Linked DNA regions of Anolis sagrei. The protein of the gene in region 1 interacts with the protein of each later gene in a pairwise test. Links are inferred from orthologs where the notes say so. Each region holds a gene or a part of one and is shown on either strand. Other genes may lie near its edges.

Region 1 (7,908 bases):
GAGCAGCCCCCCACCAGAAGATCTTATTTGTCTTGATGGTTCATAAGGGGGAATACATTCAGACAGGTAAACCGGGCCGGAACCGTATAGGGTTTTGTAGGTTAAAACCAGCATTTTGAATTGTGCTCGGAAGCTAATTGGCAGTCAGTGGAGCTGGTATAACAAAGGAATTGTGCGCTCTCTGTACCCTGCTCCGGTTAGTAATCTGGCTGCCGAACGTTGGACTAATTTCAGCTTCTGGGCAGTCTTCAGAGGCAACCCCACGTATAGAGCGTTGCAGCAGTCAATATGGGATGTAACCAGAGCGTGGACCACCGTGGCCAAGTCAGACTTCCCAAGGTACGGGCGCAGCTGGCGCACAAGCTTTAATTGTGCAAAAGCTTAATTATACAGTTCAGGTTTCAATGAAAATTAAATTTCAAGATTTTTAAATATCACGTTATGTCTTTGGCAACAGAACTTTTGACTGCTCTGCAAGTCCACCACACATGGTAAAAAGATCCCATATGTTGTTTATTCTTCAAACATTAATTAATTTATTATTTATTTATTTGCTTTATTTCTATACCGCGTTTCTCAACCAAATTAGGTGACTCAATGCGGTTTACACAATATTAATTAACACAGCAATAACAATTAAAACTCAGCATACACAATAGCAAACATACAACACTCATACATAGTGCCTCGATCACAAACAAGATCCAGTCTCATATCCTTATGCCGTTCCTATGTTCAGTTTACCGTCATCCTGTATTCAATTGCGCTAATTAGCCAAACGCTTGCTCAAAGAGCCAGGTTTTGAGCTTCTTCCGAAACGCCAGCAGCGAAGGGGCCTGTCTGATGTCATTGCGTAGGGCATTCCATAACCGAGGGGCCACCACCGAGAAGGCCCTGTCTCTCGTTCCCGCCAACCGTGCCTGCGACGCAGGCGGAACCGAGAGCAGGGTCTCCCCGGACGATCTTAATGTCCATGTCGGTTCATAGGTGGAGATGCGTTCGGAGAGGTAGGTGGGGCCAGAACCGTTTAGGGCTTTGTAGGCTAGCGCCAGCACCTTGAATTGTGCCCGGTAGGAAATTGGCAGCCAGTGGAGCTGGCTCAACAGAGGAGTGGTATGCTCCCTGAGAGCTGCTCCTGTTAGCAACCTGGCTGCCGAGCGCTGGACCATCTGAAGCTTCCGGGCAGTCTTCAAGGGCAGCCCCACGTAAAGCGCGTTGCAGTAATCTATACGGGATGTGACCAGAGCGTGGACTACCGTGGCCAAGTCAGACTTCCCGAGGTACGGGCGCAGCTGGCGCACGAGCCGGAGCTGTGCAAATGCTCCCCTGGCCACCGCCGAGACCTGAGGCTCCAGGCTCAGCGATGAATCCAGGGTCACACCCAAGCTGCGAACCTGCGTCTTCAGGGGGAGTGTAACCCCGTCCAACACAGGCTGTAACCCTATGCCCCGTTCGGCCTTTCGACTGACCAGGAGTGCCTCTGTCTTGTCTGGATTCAATTTCAATTTGTTCACCCTCATCCAGTCCGACACAGCGGCCAAGCACCGGTTCAGGACCTGAACAGCCTCCTTAGAAGTAGGTGGGAAGGAGTGACAGAGTTGGACATCATCTGCGTACAGATAACACCGCACCCCGAAACTCCGGATGATCTCTCCCAACGGCTTCATGTAGATGTTAAACAACATGGGGGACAGTATTGAACCCTGCGGGACCCCACAAAACAATGGTTGTGAGGACGAGCAGCTGTCCCCCATCAACACCTTCTGGGTACGACCCTCTAGGAAGGACCTGAGCCACTGTAAAACAGTGCCACCAAGGCCCATTCCCGCGAGGCGTCCCAGAAGGATACCGTGGTCGACGGTATCGAAGGCCGCTGAGAGATCCAGCAGGACCAACAGGGACTCACTCCCCCTGTCGAGCTCCCTGCGGAGATCATCCACTAAGGCGACCAGGGCTGTCTCGGTACCATGTCCTGGCCTAAAACCAGACTGTGCCGGATCCAGATAATCCGTGTCTACCAAGAATACCTGGAGTTGTGAGGCCACCACACGTTCCAGGACTTTGCTCAAAAAGGGAAGATTGGAAACAGGCCGATAGTTGACGAATTGAGTGGGGTCTAGTGATGGTTTTTTCAACAGCGGTTTTATTACAGCTTGTTTTAAGCTGGCTGGAATTTTGCCTTCCCGAAGGGAGGCATTAACCACCACCTCCACCCACTCGGCCAATCCCCCTCTGGCCTCCTTTAGAAGCCAGGATGGGCAGGGGTCTAGGATGCATGTGGTAGCTCTCATTCCTCCAAGTATCTTGTCCACATCCTCGGGTTTCACCAATTGAAATGAATCCATCAAAATCGGACAAGCAGATGCTCGTGTTACATCCTCAGAGACTGCCGTTAACGTGGTATCCAGGCCAGAGCGGATCAAAGCGACTTTGTCCGCAAAGAACCGAGCAAATGCTTCACAGCGGGCCGTCGAGTTGTCAGGGTTCCCATCCGGAATGGTGGGGTTCAATAGCCCTCTGACAACTCGAAACAGCTCCGCCGGATGGTTCTTTGCGGACGCAATATTGGCCGCAAAGAAGGCTTTCTTTGCCGCCTTTATTGCCACGGCGTATGCCCTTAGTAGGGCAACAAACCGTGTTCGATTTAACTCGCTCGGGTCCGAACGCCACACGCGCTCTAGTCTCCTCTTCCTTCGCTTCATCGCTGCCAGCTCCTCGTTGAACCAAGGTGCTGGTTTAGCTCGGCTACTTGAGAGGGGACGTTCCGGAACAATCGTGTTTATGGCCCTAGTCATCTCCCCATTCCAGAGAGACACCAGGGCTTCAACAGGATCACCAACCGAGGTGGCAGGAAAATCCCCAAGAGCCATCAGGAATCCATTCGGATCCATAAGCCTCCTGGGGCGGACCATCTTAATGGGTCCCCCACCTCTGCAGAGGTTGGGAGGTGTGGTGAGTCTAAATCTGACCAGATAGTGGTCGGTCCATGGCAACGGAGAAGTGGATAACTCCTCGACACCGCCACCTTGCTCCCATCCCTGACAGAAAACCAGATCCAATGTGTGTCCCGCACAGTGGGTGGGCCAGATACTCGTTGGGACAGCCCCATGGTTGCCATGGATGACATGAAGTCCTGAGCCGCTCCTCCTAGTGTAGTCTCGGCATGTACATTGAAGTCCCCCAGTACAAGAAGCCGTTGAGACTCCAATGCCAGGCTCGAGACCACCCCCGCTAGCTCAGGTAGGGAGACCGTAGTAATTAGATCCTCTATGCATTTTAGCACACATTAAATGTGTTAAATGCCAACAATTAGTCAATTTATAGATATTTTTATTCAGATCATATTATCAGAGTATGATCCTCCAGATATTTTAGACTAAAACAATGTTTATACCATCTTTTCTTACTACAGGATATAAGATGTATTAATTAGGTTTGATGGAAGTTATAGTCCCAAATTTTCAGTTTGTTTCAAAGGAAAGCGGGGGGCAGCTGCTGAAATTTCTCCATCAGTATGGCTGTTGTTAACTACCATCTGCTTTGACTTATGGTGATCCTATGAATGAGATGTCTCAATTTAACTCTATTAATCCTGCACAAGGTTAGCCACCCTGCACAGCTCTTGCAGATTCGGGACATGTCTTCCTTGACTGAGTCTATCAATTTGTGATACAGGTTTCCTCATTTACTGCCTTCTACTTTTCATTGTTGTGAGTCATGTATTCTTCAGATACGGCAATCTCAGTTTAGGGGGCTTCTATACCAGGCATGAGCAAATGGGCCCTCCAGATGTTTTGGACTTCAGCTGGCTGTTCGGAATTGTGGGAGTTGAAGTCCACAATAATGTATGCAGATCCCAGTATGGTGGCCTTTTGCAGCTGACAGATGGTAATTTTGTCAGTGCCGACTGTGTTTAAGTGCAGGCCAAGGTCTTTAGGCACGGCACCCAGTGTGCCAATCACCACTGGGACCACCATGACTGGCTTGTGCCCAAGTCTTTGCAGTTCAGTCTTTAAATCCTCATGTCAGCTTTTCCAGTTGTTTCTCCAATCCTGCTGTCGCCTGGGATTGCAACATCGATGACCCATAACATGATCGTGAGGTCGGAGTATTGTGCTCCAAACTCTTGTCATTATTATATTTTTACTGACACAAAAACACAGAATGTCACAGCAAACGAGATCTATATGCTGGATTTCGAATCACAAAATCACAAGTTGAACACTTCCCAAGCTTTATTATATTATTATAATACATTATATCATTATATTAATATTATATAATGATTATAATATGATATATTATATCATTATATTACAATTTTATAATATATATAATTATTATATTATGATACATTATAATTTTATGATATTATAATAATATATATCATTTATTATTATGATTATTCTTCTCCATTTGCTTCTGACACTAAAAATAAATGATTAATATATATCTCCCACGAAGTTTCCACCTGGCCTGGGCAAACTTGGGCTCTCCGGGTGTTTGGACTTCAATTCCCACCATTCCTAAGAGGCCCCTTCCTTTTCCCCCTCAGCCGCTTAAGCTGAGGAAAGGAAGGAGCCTGAGGCTGTTAGGAATTGTGGGAATTGAAGTCCAAAACGCCAAAGAGGACCCACGTTTGCCCCGGCCTGTATCCCACCACACAACGCACCAGAGAGTAACTAACTACGCCACTGCGAGCAGCCGAAAAGTTTTTTTCTGCGCAGGCGCAGAGCATCCGCCCGCCTGACAATGCCAGCGGGGGCTTTCCGCCCCAGCCGCGCGTGCGCAGTGACCTCGGCACCTCCGAGGCGCGGGGAGGGGGGGGAGCCTTTTGTTCCTCTCCGTTGTGCACATGCGCGCCTGCGCCTCTCTCTCTCTTTCTCTCTTACCAACCCCGCTCCCCTTTTTTCTAGCAACTTCCCCGACCCCTGACGTCATCACCAGGCGCCGTAGTAGCCGAGCCGGACTGTTTCCGTTGAACTCTGGGAGAGAAAGCTGAGTCGCGCGTCGGGGTGTGCGCGAGGGAAGAGGAGGAGGAGGAGGAAGGGGGCCGAGGAGGGGAAGAAGAAGAAGGCGACGAAGAGGAGGAAGGGAGGGAGGGTCGGCGTTACCCGGCATTCTCCGCGCGGCCTGGCTTTAACGAGCGGAGGCGGCTTCTCCTCCGTCTGTCGGCCCGCGCGCCATGTCTGAGGGCGGCGAGAGCCCCCAGGGCCCCGGCGAGAGCCATCCCGCCCCTGCCGCCGCCGCCGCCACTGAGCCGCGGATCATTAAAGTCACCGTGAAGACCCCGAAGGAGAAGGAGGAATTCGCCGTGCCGGAGACCAGCAGCATCCGGCAGGTGAGAGGAGAGAGAGAGAGAGAGAGCCAGCTAAGGAGGGAGGGAGGGGCGTGGCTGGTGCCTCAGAGCGGAGTGTGTGCCTTGTGTGAAGGGGTATTTTGTGTGTGTGTGTGTGTGTGTATGGAACCGGCGACCATGTTCTCTCTCCCTTCCTCCTCGCGCCGCTGGCTTCCGCGCGGGGCCTTTGCCTCGTCACCGGCCTCCGAAGTGCTGACGCGGGAGGAGCAATTGCCTCATCAGAGAGAGGGAGGGAGGGAGGCCTCAATCTCTACACTGGGGAATGGACGCGGCTCGGCACCGCTTTCAACTCCCGGGGCTCCGTGCTGTGGACTCGTCCGAGTTGTGGTCGGGTGAGGCGCCCCACTCTGAGGCAGAGAAGGCTCCAACTCCCATGATCCCACAATGTGCGGCCTACTGTATTAATTTTAGTGTGTTGACCAGGCATGGGCTAACTTGAGCCCTCCAGGCGTTTTGGACCAATCCTAAAAGCCTCGGGCCTCTTCCTTTCCATTCCTAACAGCCTCAGACCCCTTCCTTTCCATTTCTAACAGCCCCAGACCCCTTCCTTTTCATTCCTAACAGCTTCAGACCCCTTCCTTTTCATTCCTAACAGCTTCAGACCCCTTCCTTTTCATTCCTAACAGCCTCAGACCCCTTCCTTTCCATTCCTAACAGCTTCAGACCCCTTCCTTTTCATTCCTAACAGCCTCAGACCCCTTCCTTTCCATTTCCAACAGCCTCAGACCCCTTCCTTTTCATTCCTAACAGCTTCAGTCCCCTTCCTTTCCATTCCTAACAGCCTCAAACCCCTTCCTTTCCATTCCTAACAGCTCCAGACCCCTTCCTTTTCATTCCTAAACAGCCTCAGACCCCATCCTTTCCATTCCTAACAGCCTCACACCCCTTCCTTTCCATTTCTTTATTTTAAAATAATTTTTATTTAGATCCCCCCCCCCCAAAAACACAAAGTTATGGTAAAAATATCAAAGAGCTTCAGATAGAGATATGTATATAAAAGTAGAAGTGTGGATTGGATTAGGAATAATAGTGTTTAAAGGGAAAAGAGAAAGGTTAAAGGTCGAGTAAAGTTAGGGCTGGGGGGGGAGGGGGTATGAAATCGTGAGTATGAAAGATGTAGAAATGGATAGAATAAAATAAATAAGAATGTAGATTTTCAGACTTCCCAGTATCTTCTATGAGGTTCTTTCCCTTTCCTTTCTTTTTTCTTTATTTTTTCTTTTCTTTTTCTCCCTTTCTTCGTTTTGTCCATTGCTTTCTTGTTTTTCTTAAATAAGTATTTTCACATTCCTTTTTGTTAAGTATGCTGTAACTTGTTTCCAGTCTGTCTTGTTCCTTGAAGTGCTATTTCTAACAACCTCGGGCCCTCCCTTTCCATTCCTAACAGCCTCGGACCCCTTCCTTTCCATTCCTAACAGCCACGAGCCACATCTTTTGCGTAATGGTGGAAGTTGAAGTCCAAAACTCCTGGAGGGCCCAAGTTGGCCCATACCTGATGTAGACAGAGGCACTCTCCTCCCTCTGTCGTTTTCACTTGGGTATGAATGAGTGGCACCAGGGTGACATTGTTCAAGGGAGCTACTCCCGAGTAAAAGCAGGGCCCATGAAAAAGCCTAAAGAGCATAATATTTATTATTTATTCAACTCATTTCTGCCCCACCTCTCTCACCCAAAGGGGACTCAAGGCGGCTTACAACTAAGGCAAAAAACCCCCAGCAATAACAATAAAACTTTAAAACACTTAAAAACAATTAACATTAAGCAATAATACACATAAAACAGCATACAAATTTTAAAAAGCATATAAAGTACATTGTTCTCTTCATACAAAGCCCTGCTCATAATCCTTAATCCAGACTGTGTTGAAACTGTAGAAACTTATTCTTCAAACGCTTGTGCGCAGAGCCAGGTCTTCAGCTTTTTTCATTTAATACTCTTCCAGGGCTTTTTTTGTTTTGTTTTGTTTTGTTTTTGGTGTTGGCATTCATTTGTTTTTATATAACATTCTAATTTGTGGATTTTGTCCAACAGTGAGCATGAAGAAATCGCTTACCTACTTTGTGCCTCCACTGATAGGCATTCGACTGCTCCACAGGCCCAGAAAGTTTGCTATAAAGGGGATTATTCTAGATCCCCCACCCCCATTTCCTTTATGTTTTAAAATGAGATAGCATTTGTAGAGCTAACGGGATGAAAAACACCTGGTGCTGGAATCGCAAAATGACCGCAAAGAAGGGTTGCCTTTGTCTAGAGGAGGACACAAAGGAGCCAGGCGGACAGGGAGAGAGACCAGCTAGCTTCAGTGGGAGGGTCGCCATGATTTCAAATCTGGCAGGCTTGGGATAGGTTGATCATCCCTTACCCCAAATGCTCCAACATCTACAGTTGTCCACAAGGGGGGCTGAGATGGCACACTTTTGCTTTCTGGTGATTCGGTGTACACAAACTTGGTTCATGCACCAAATTATGCAAAATATTATGTAAAAATTACTTTCAAGCTATGTGTTAGAAGATGTGCATGAAATATAAATGAGTTTTGTTTATAGATT
Region 2 (7,203 bases), on another chromosome or scaffold:
GGCTTGCTTTATGTATACTGATTTGTTGGAAACTGCCTTGAGTCGCCAATTGGCTGAGAAAGATGGTATGCAAATACAGTAAATAAATAAATAAATAATAATAATAATAATAATTATTATTATTATTAGAAACACAACAAGGAGTCCACAGCAGACACTCTGCTGGCTGTTGAATTGGATCACACGTTGGACACTTCCCAAGTGTCTAGGACTGTGTGATGTATCGGCGAATAATGGGTGCAGATCCCAGTAAGGTGGCCTTTTGCAGCTGGCAGATGGTCATTTTGTCAGCGCCGATTGTGTTTAAGTGCAGGCCAAGGTCTTTAGGCACTGCACCCAGTGTGCCAATCACCACTGGGACCATCTTGACTGGCTTGTGCCAGAGTCTTTGTAGTTCGATCTTTAAATCCTCATATCGTGTCAGCTTATTATTATTATTATTATTATTACTATTACTATTATTATTATTTATGAGTCTACACTGCCATATAATTAAGTTCAAATCAGATCATCTTGATTTTATATGGCAGTGTGGAAGGGACCTCAGAAGGTTTAAATGGTTGAGTTGGGATCCGAACCCCAATCTCCAGACCAATGCTCAGACCACTAAAAGGTGAAATTATGATGGAAGCCATCATGTCTTCACAAAACATGGAGGCTGCCTTCTTCAGGCTATTTACTCCTGACTGGAGCCTCCAGTGGTGCAATGGGTTAAACCCTTGTGCTGGGAGGCCTGCTGACCAAAAGGTCGGCGGTTCGAATCCAGGGAGCAGGGTAAGTTCCCATCTGTCAGATCCAACTTCTCATGCAGGGGCATGAGAGAAGCCTCCCACAGGAAAGTAAAACATCCGGGCAACCTCTAGGCAACAACCTAGCAGACAGCCAATTCTCTCACACCAGAAACGACTTGCAGATTCTCAAGTTGCTCCTGGCACAAATAAAACCCCTCTCCATTACTATTGTCTCATTGAGGACCCAGAAACTAAACCAAATCTGCAAACACTATTCCAGATATAAACTAAAGCTAATATGGCAAGGGGAAGGAGCTTTAAGCGCTTTGTATAGCTGAATTTCGGTAAAATAACATTTCTGAAAGATAAGATGTCGAAGGAAGGAGTGAGTGTCTGCACTTCTGTGAGATTACCATTTTTTTTAAAAAAGGAGCTGCTCAAGGTTAAATTTGTTTATCTGTTTGACATCAAGAGGGCAGCTGCGCACCATGGATCAATTGATTTGCAGAGAAATAATTGTTCTCCCAGACAAAATCCAATATATAGTGTACGCATTTTTTTAAAAAAAAACTGCTTCAAGCCTCACTCAGTTCACCCTTCAGCATAGCCTTCCTTTTTATTAATTCTGAACATTTTTCCTGCCCTTCCTTCTTTCTATATATTCAAATCACATCCTATTCCCCCTGCCCCCCAACAGTCCAATCTATAATACATTTCCTGGCCCTGGTAGGGGAGGAGAAAGGAGAGGAGCTTCATGCATGCATTTAACTAATGATAATTTTAACAAACAGTATTTTGGACCACCCTGAGGGTAGATCCTGATCTTATAGGATGTTATTGTGCAAAGGATGGAGCAATGGGAGTTTGTTGTAAATAATAATAAAATAATAATAGGTTTGATTTATATCCCGCCCTCTCTCGCAGAAGGGACTCAGGGTGGCTTACAGCAAGTAACTGTTAAAACAATATCCAAAATATACTACATAGGTCAAATTAACATAGCTTAAAATAGAACTATTGCAATGACTGAAAACATATAAGAACAGAACATAACATAACAGCAACAACAAAAATAGCTGCTCTTGCTGGAATAAAAACATTACAAATATTAATATTTTACATATTATATATATATATATATATATATATATATATATATATGTGGGAGCCCCCGGTGGCGCAGTGGGTTAAACCCCTGTGCCGGCAGGACTGAAGACCGGCAGGTTGCAGGTTCGAATCCGGGGAGAGGCGGATGAGCTCCCTCTATCAGCTCCAGCTCCTCATGCGGGGACATGAGAGAAGCCTCCCACAAGGATGATAAAACATCAAAAATCATCTGGCGTCCCCTGGGCAACGTCCTTGCAGACAGCCAATTCTCTCACAACAGGATGCTCCTGCTCCTGACATGACAATATATATATTGTGTGTGTGTGTAAAATACTAGGTTATATATAATATATATTTATATAATATTTATATAGGATATATATGTAAAATGTTAGGTACATAGGATATATATATATATATATATATATATATGCACACACACACACACATATAATGTAATGTTATATATAGAATATATATATTTATATAATATTTATATAGGATATATATGTAAAATATTAGGTAGGTAAAGGTAAAGATTTTCCCCTGACATGAAGTCCAGTCGTGTCCGACTCTGGGGTGTGGTGCTCATCTCCATTTCTAAGTCGAAGAGCCGGCGTTGTCTGTAGACACCTCCAAAGTCATGCGGACAGTATGACTGCATGGAGCACCGTTACCTTCCCACCGGAGCGGTACCTATAGATCTACTCACATTTGCATGTTTTCGAACTGTTAGGTTGACAGAAGCTGGGGCTAACAGTGGAAGCTCACACTGCTACCCGGATTCGAACCTGCTTTAACCCACTGTGCCACCGGGGCTCTTTAAAATATTAGGTAGGATTTATATATATATATATATATATATATATATATATATATATAATATTTCTATAGAATAGATATGTAAAATATTACATAGGATATATATATATATATATATATATATATAATATGTGTATATATATATATAATATTTATATAGGATATATTTGTAAAATATTACATAGGATATATATATATATATATAGGAGATTTATATAGAATATATATATAATATTAGGTAGGATATATATATAATATTTATATAGGATATATATGTAAAATATTATGTAAGATATATATATGTATTTATATAATATTTATATAGGATGTATATGTAAAATATTACATAGGATATATATATCATATGTATATGTATAACATTTCTATAGGATATATATGTAAAATATTAGGTAGGATATATATAGTATATATATATATGTATTTTTCTAGGAGATTTATATAGGATATATATGTAAAATATTAGGTAGGATAAATATATATATAAATATATATATATAATATTTCTATAGGATAGATATGTAAAATATTACATAGGATATATATATAATATGTATATATATAATATTTATATAGAATATATATATATAATATTAGGTAGGGCATATATAGAATATATATATAATATTTCTATAGGATAGATATGTAAAATATTACATAGGAGATATATATATATATAGGAGATTTCTATAGGATATATATATATAATATTATGTAGGATATATATAAATATAATATTTCTATAGGATATATATGTAAATATTATGTAGGATATATATATCATATGTATTTATATAATATTTCTATAGGATGTATATGTAAAATATTACGTAGGATATATATATATATATATCATATGTATGTATTTATATAACATTTCTATAGCATATATATGTAAAATATCAGGTAGGATATATATATAGAGAGAGAGAGAGAGAGAGAGATTTATATAGGATATATGTATATATTAGGTAGGATATATATAGTATATATAGTATATATGTATATCTATAATATTAATATAGTATCTATATGTAAAATATTAGGATATATATATATGTAATATTTATATAGTATCTATATGTAAAATATTAGGTACATAGGATATATATATCTCTCTCTGTGTGAAGAAGGAAGACCAACGGGCTCCCCTTCCTCCTCTTGTTCTGCGTTGCTTCCCTCCATCTCCATTCAGCCAACCCTGGGCGAAAAAGTTTCTTTCAACTTTTCCAGCGATGGAATCCTCCTAAGGCAGGCCCCGCCCACATTCCTCCCCGCCCCTCCCCTCCTTTGATCGCCCTGCCCAATCCGGAGCCGAGTTGTGGAGACAACAGAGCGCGCCATTGGCCGGAGCAAGGGTTCGGAGACGCCGCCCCCTTCTCGGTCTTGTGAATGGAGAAGGGGAGAAAGGGGCGGGGCTAGAGAGAACGCTCAGCCATATAGGAGCCTTTTTTTCCCTCGCAGAGAGAGAGAGAGAGAGAGAGAGAAGGAGGAGGAGGAGGGAGGTCTCAGGGCGCATTCCTTCTCTGGATCTGGATCCCTGCGGAGGGGCCGAGGGAGCGATCGCCAGGCGGAGGGAGACTCCCAAGCGGCTTCCCTTGGAGCCTTTGCATTCAAAAGCGAGGAGAAGCTGCCGAGAAGTCCCGGAGGAGGAGGAGGAAGGGCGCTCTTGGGAGTGCGGGGCTTCTCCACGCGAGGAAACTTTTGGAGGTGGGTCTTCCAAGGGTGCCGAGAAGGAGAGACCGAGGGGAGACCTGCTTTGGCTTTGGAGAGGCGCCCTGGTGCTTCTCCCTCCTGGCGGGAGTCCAAACAGGCAGCGATCCGGTTTGGCTTCTTCTGGAAGGCTCCTCCTGCTGCTGAGTGGGCGATGCCTTCGGGGCCCTGAGTGGGAGAAGCAGCAGCACCATCCTCTGACAATCCTCCGGCATCCTCCTCCTCTTTGGCCTCTTCCCCATCCCCCAATGCTCAGGGCAGCAGCCATGGGCCTGTGGGGTCTGCTGGCCTTAGCTTGGCTGATGCCCCATGCCAGCCGTGGGCAGCCTTCTTCTTCTTCTTCGCAGGGCGAGAAGGGCATCTCGGTGCCGGACCACGGCTTCTGCCAGCCCATCTCCATCCCCTTGTGCACCGACATTGCCTACAACCAGACCATCCTGCCCAACCTGCTGGGCCACACCAGCCAGGAGGATGCCGGCCTGGAGGTGCACCAGTTCTACCCGCTGGTCAAGGTGCAGTGCTCCCCGGAGCTGCGCTTCTTCCTCTGCTCCATGTACGCCCCGGTCTGCACCGTCCTGGAGCAAGCCATCCCGCCCTGCCGCTCCCTCTGCGAGAGGGCCCGCCACGGCTGCGAGGCCCTCATGAACAAGTTTGGCTTCCAGTGGCCCGAGCGCCTGCGCTGTGAGAACTTCCCCGTCCACGGCGCTGGGGAGATCTGCGTGGGACAGAACACCTCCGACACCTCATCCTCCGGGGGAGGAGGGCGTGGAGCAGGCGTCGCCCCGGGGAGCCCTGCCACCGCCTCGTACCCCACAGAACACTTACCCGGACCCCCTGTTCACCCACTGCCTCCCACCACCGGTCACGCCACCTTCACCTTCTCCTGTCCCCGGCAGCTCAAGGTGCCCCCGTACCTGGGCTACCGCTTCCTAGGTGAGCGGGATTGTGGCGCCCCATGCGATCCTGACCTGCCCAACGGAGGACTCATGTACTTCAAGCAGGCCGAGGTCCGCTTTGCCCGCCTGCTCGTGGGCATCTGGTCGGTGCTTTGCTGCGCTTCCACGCTCTTCACCGTCTTGACTTACTTGGTGGACATGCGGCGCTTCAGCTACCCCGAACGGCCCATCATCTTCCTCTCTGGCTGCTACTTCATGGTGGCTGTGGCCTATGTGGCTGGCTTCCTGCTAGAGGACCGTGTGGTGTGCGTGGAGCGCTTCTCGGAGGATGGCTTCCGGACAGTGGTGCAGGGCACCAAGAAGGAGGGCTGCACCATCCTCTTCATGATCCTCTACTTCTTTGGCATGGCCAGCTCCATCTGGTGGGTCATCCTCTCACTCACCTGGTTCCTGGCGGCAGGCATGAAGTGGGGCCACGAGGCCATTGAGGCCAACTCCCAGTACTTCCACTTGGCCGCCTGGGCTGTGCCAGCCATCAAGACCATCACCATCCTGGCCATGGGGCAGGTGGATGGAGACGTCCTCAGCGGGGTGTGCTATGTGGGCCTCTACAGCGTGGACGCCCTGCGGGGCTTCGTCCTGGCCCCACTCTTCGTCTACCTCTTCATTGGCACCTCCTTCCTGCTGGCCGGCTTTGTCTCCCTCTTCCGCATCCGGACCATCATGAAGCACGACGGCACCAAGACTGAGAAGCTGGAGAAGCTGATGGTGCGTATCGGGGTCTTCAGCGTCCTCTACACCGTGCCGGCCACCATCGTGCTGGCCTGCTACTTCTACGAGCAGGCCTTCCAGGACACCTGGGAGAAGACCTGGCTCCTGCAGAACTGCAAGAGCTACGCCATCACTTGCCCTGCCGCCAACTTCGCCCCCATGAGCCCTGACTTCACAGTCTTCCTCATCAAGTATCTCATGACCATGATTGTGGGCATCACCACCGGCTTCTGGATTTGGACTGGCAAGACCCTCCAGTCTTGGCGGCGCTTCTACCACAGACTCAGCACTGGGAGCAAAGGGGAGACGGCAGTATGAGACCTAGACTTGTACTCCTATAGTTTGCCGGTCCTTTCCCACACGGCTGCTCTTCCTTCTTGTGGCGAAGGCATTGCCTGAAGGAAAGAGGGAGGGTGGCTGTGATGTGTGTGTGTTTGCGTACGTGCAAAGGGGTCCGTTGTTCCTTCATACTCTGCCTTTTCCTCTTTCCAAGGGATGGTTGGATTTCTACGTGCGGCAAACATTCCAACTTGGTCTCTCTTTCTCTTCAAATGTTTACCTTGCTAGCCAAGTTGGAGAGTGCAGAATAAGTGTCCTTCTTAAGACTTTGCTCTTCAGAACAGGTCTGTTTCTGATCCTGTGAGAATGTCTTTACTTTCCTCTACTTGTTCCCCCCACCCTGCACCCCAACCCCTTTTAGAAAAGAAAAAGAAGAAAGACAAATAACTGAAAATGCGATTCAAAGAGAAATGTGGGAATTATGCCAACGGGAAAGGAGAGGGAGGGAGAAGTGAAGGTTTACAAACAAAACAGAAATTAAGTCACATTTCTGTCTCTGGGATGGCAAACTGGACTTCCAGTAACTCATCCTCTCAAAATATAGACCCAAGAGGTGCATTGCCTCCCTCCCAGCCCTTTGTACAAGGGACAGAAATGGAGCAGCTGCTCCGAAAATTTCCCCATCAGTAGCTATCCTGGTTGGGAGGATTCTGGATATTATAGGGGAGTGGGTGGTAGTCACATATGGATGACAATTTCCAGAACCCAAAGGCAGAGATGCTCTGAAAACTCTAGTTAAAATAATTATAATTACTGTTTTGGATGGCATCTCCAACTGGTGGCCATTGGATTCTGGCGGTTTTCAT

What was found.
Region 2: the proteins of UBQLN1 (region 1) and FZD7 interact in binary tests that used the Homo sapiens proteins (3 or more experiments, as listed by UniProt). The two-hybrid records come from large-scale screens. The link is inferred for Anolis sagrei from reciprocal best matches to the Homo sapiens genes UBQLN1 and FZD7.

Annotation. Positions count from the first base shown.
Region 1 is NC_090022.1:228,697,245-228,705,152, reverse strand, and holds the start of UBQLN1 (ubiquilin-1), read left to right. Parts: upstream 1-4,856; 5' UTR 4,857-5,185; coding exon 5,186-5,341; intron 5,342-7,908. UniProt on the Homo sapiens protein: Plays an important role in the regulation of different protein degradation mechanisms and pathways including ubiquitin-proteasome system (UPS), autophagy and endoplasmic reticulum-associated protein degradation (ERAD) pathway.
Region 2 is NC_090021.1:165,057,263-165,064,465, forward strand, and holds the start of FZD7 (frizzled-7), read left to right. Parts: upstream 1-4,145; 5' UTR 4,146-4,639; coding exon 4,640-6,376; 3' UTR 6,377-7,203. UniProt on the Homo sapiens protein: Receptor for Wnt proteins.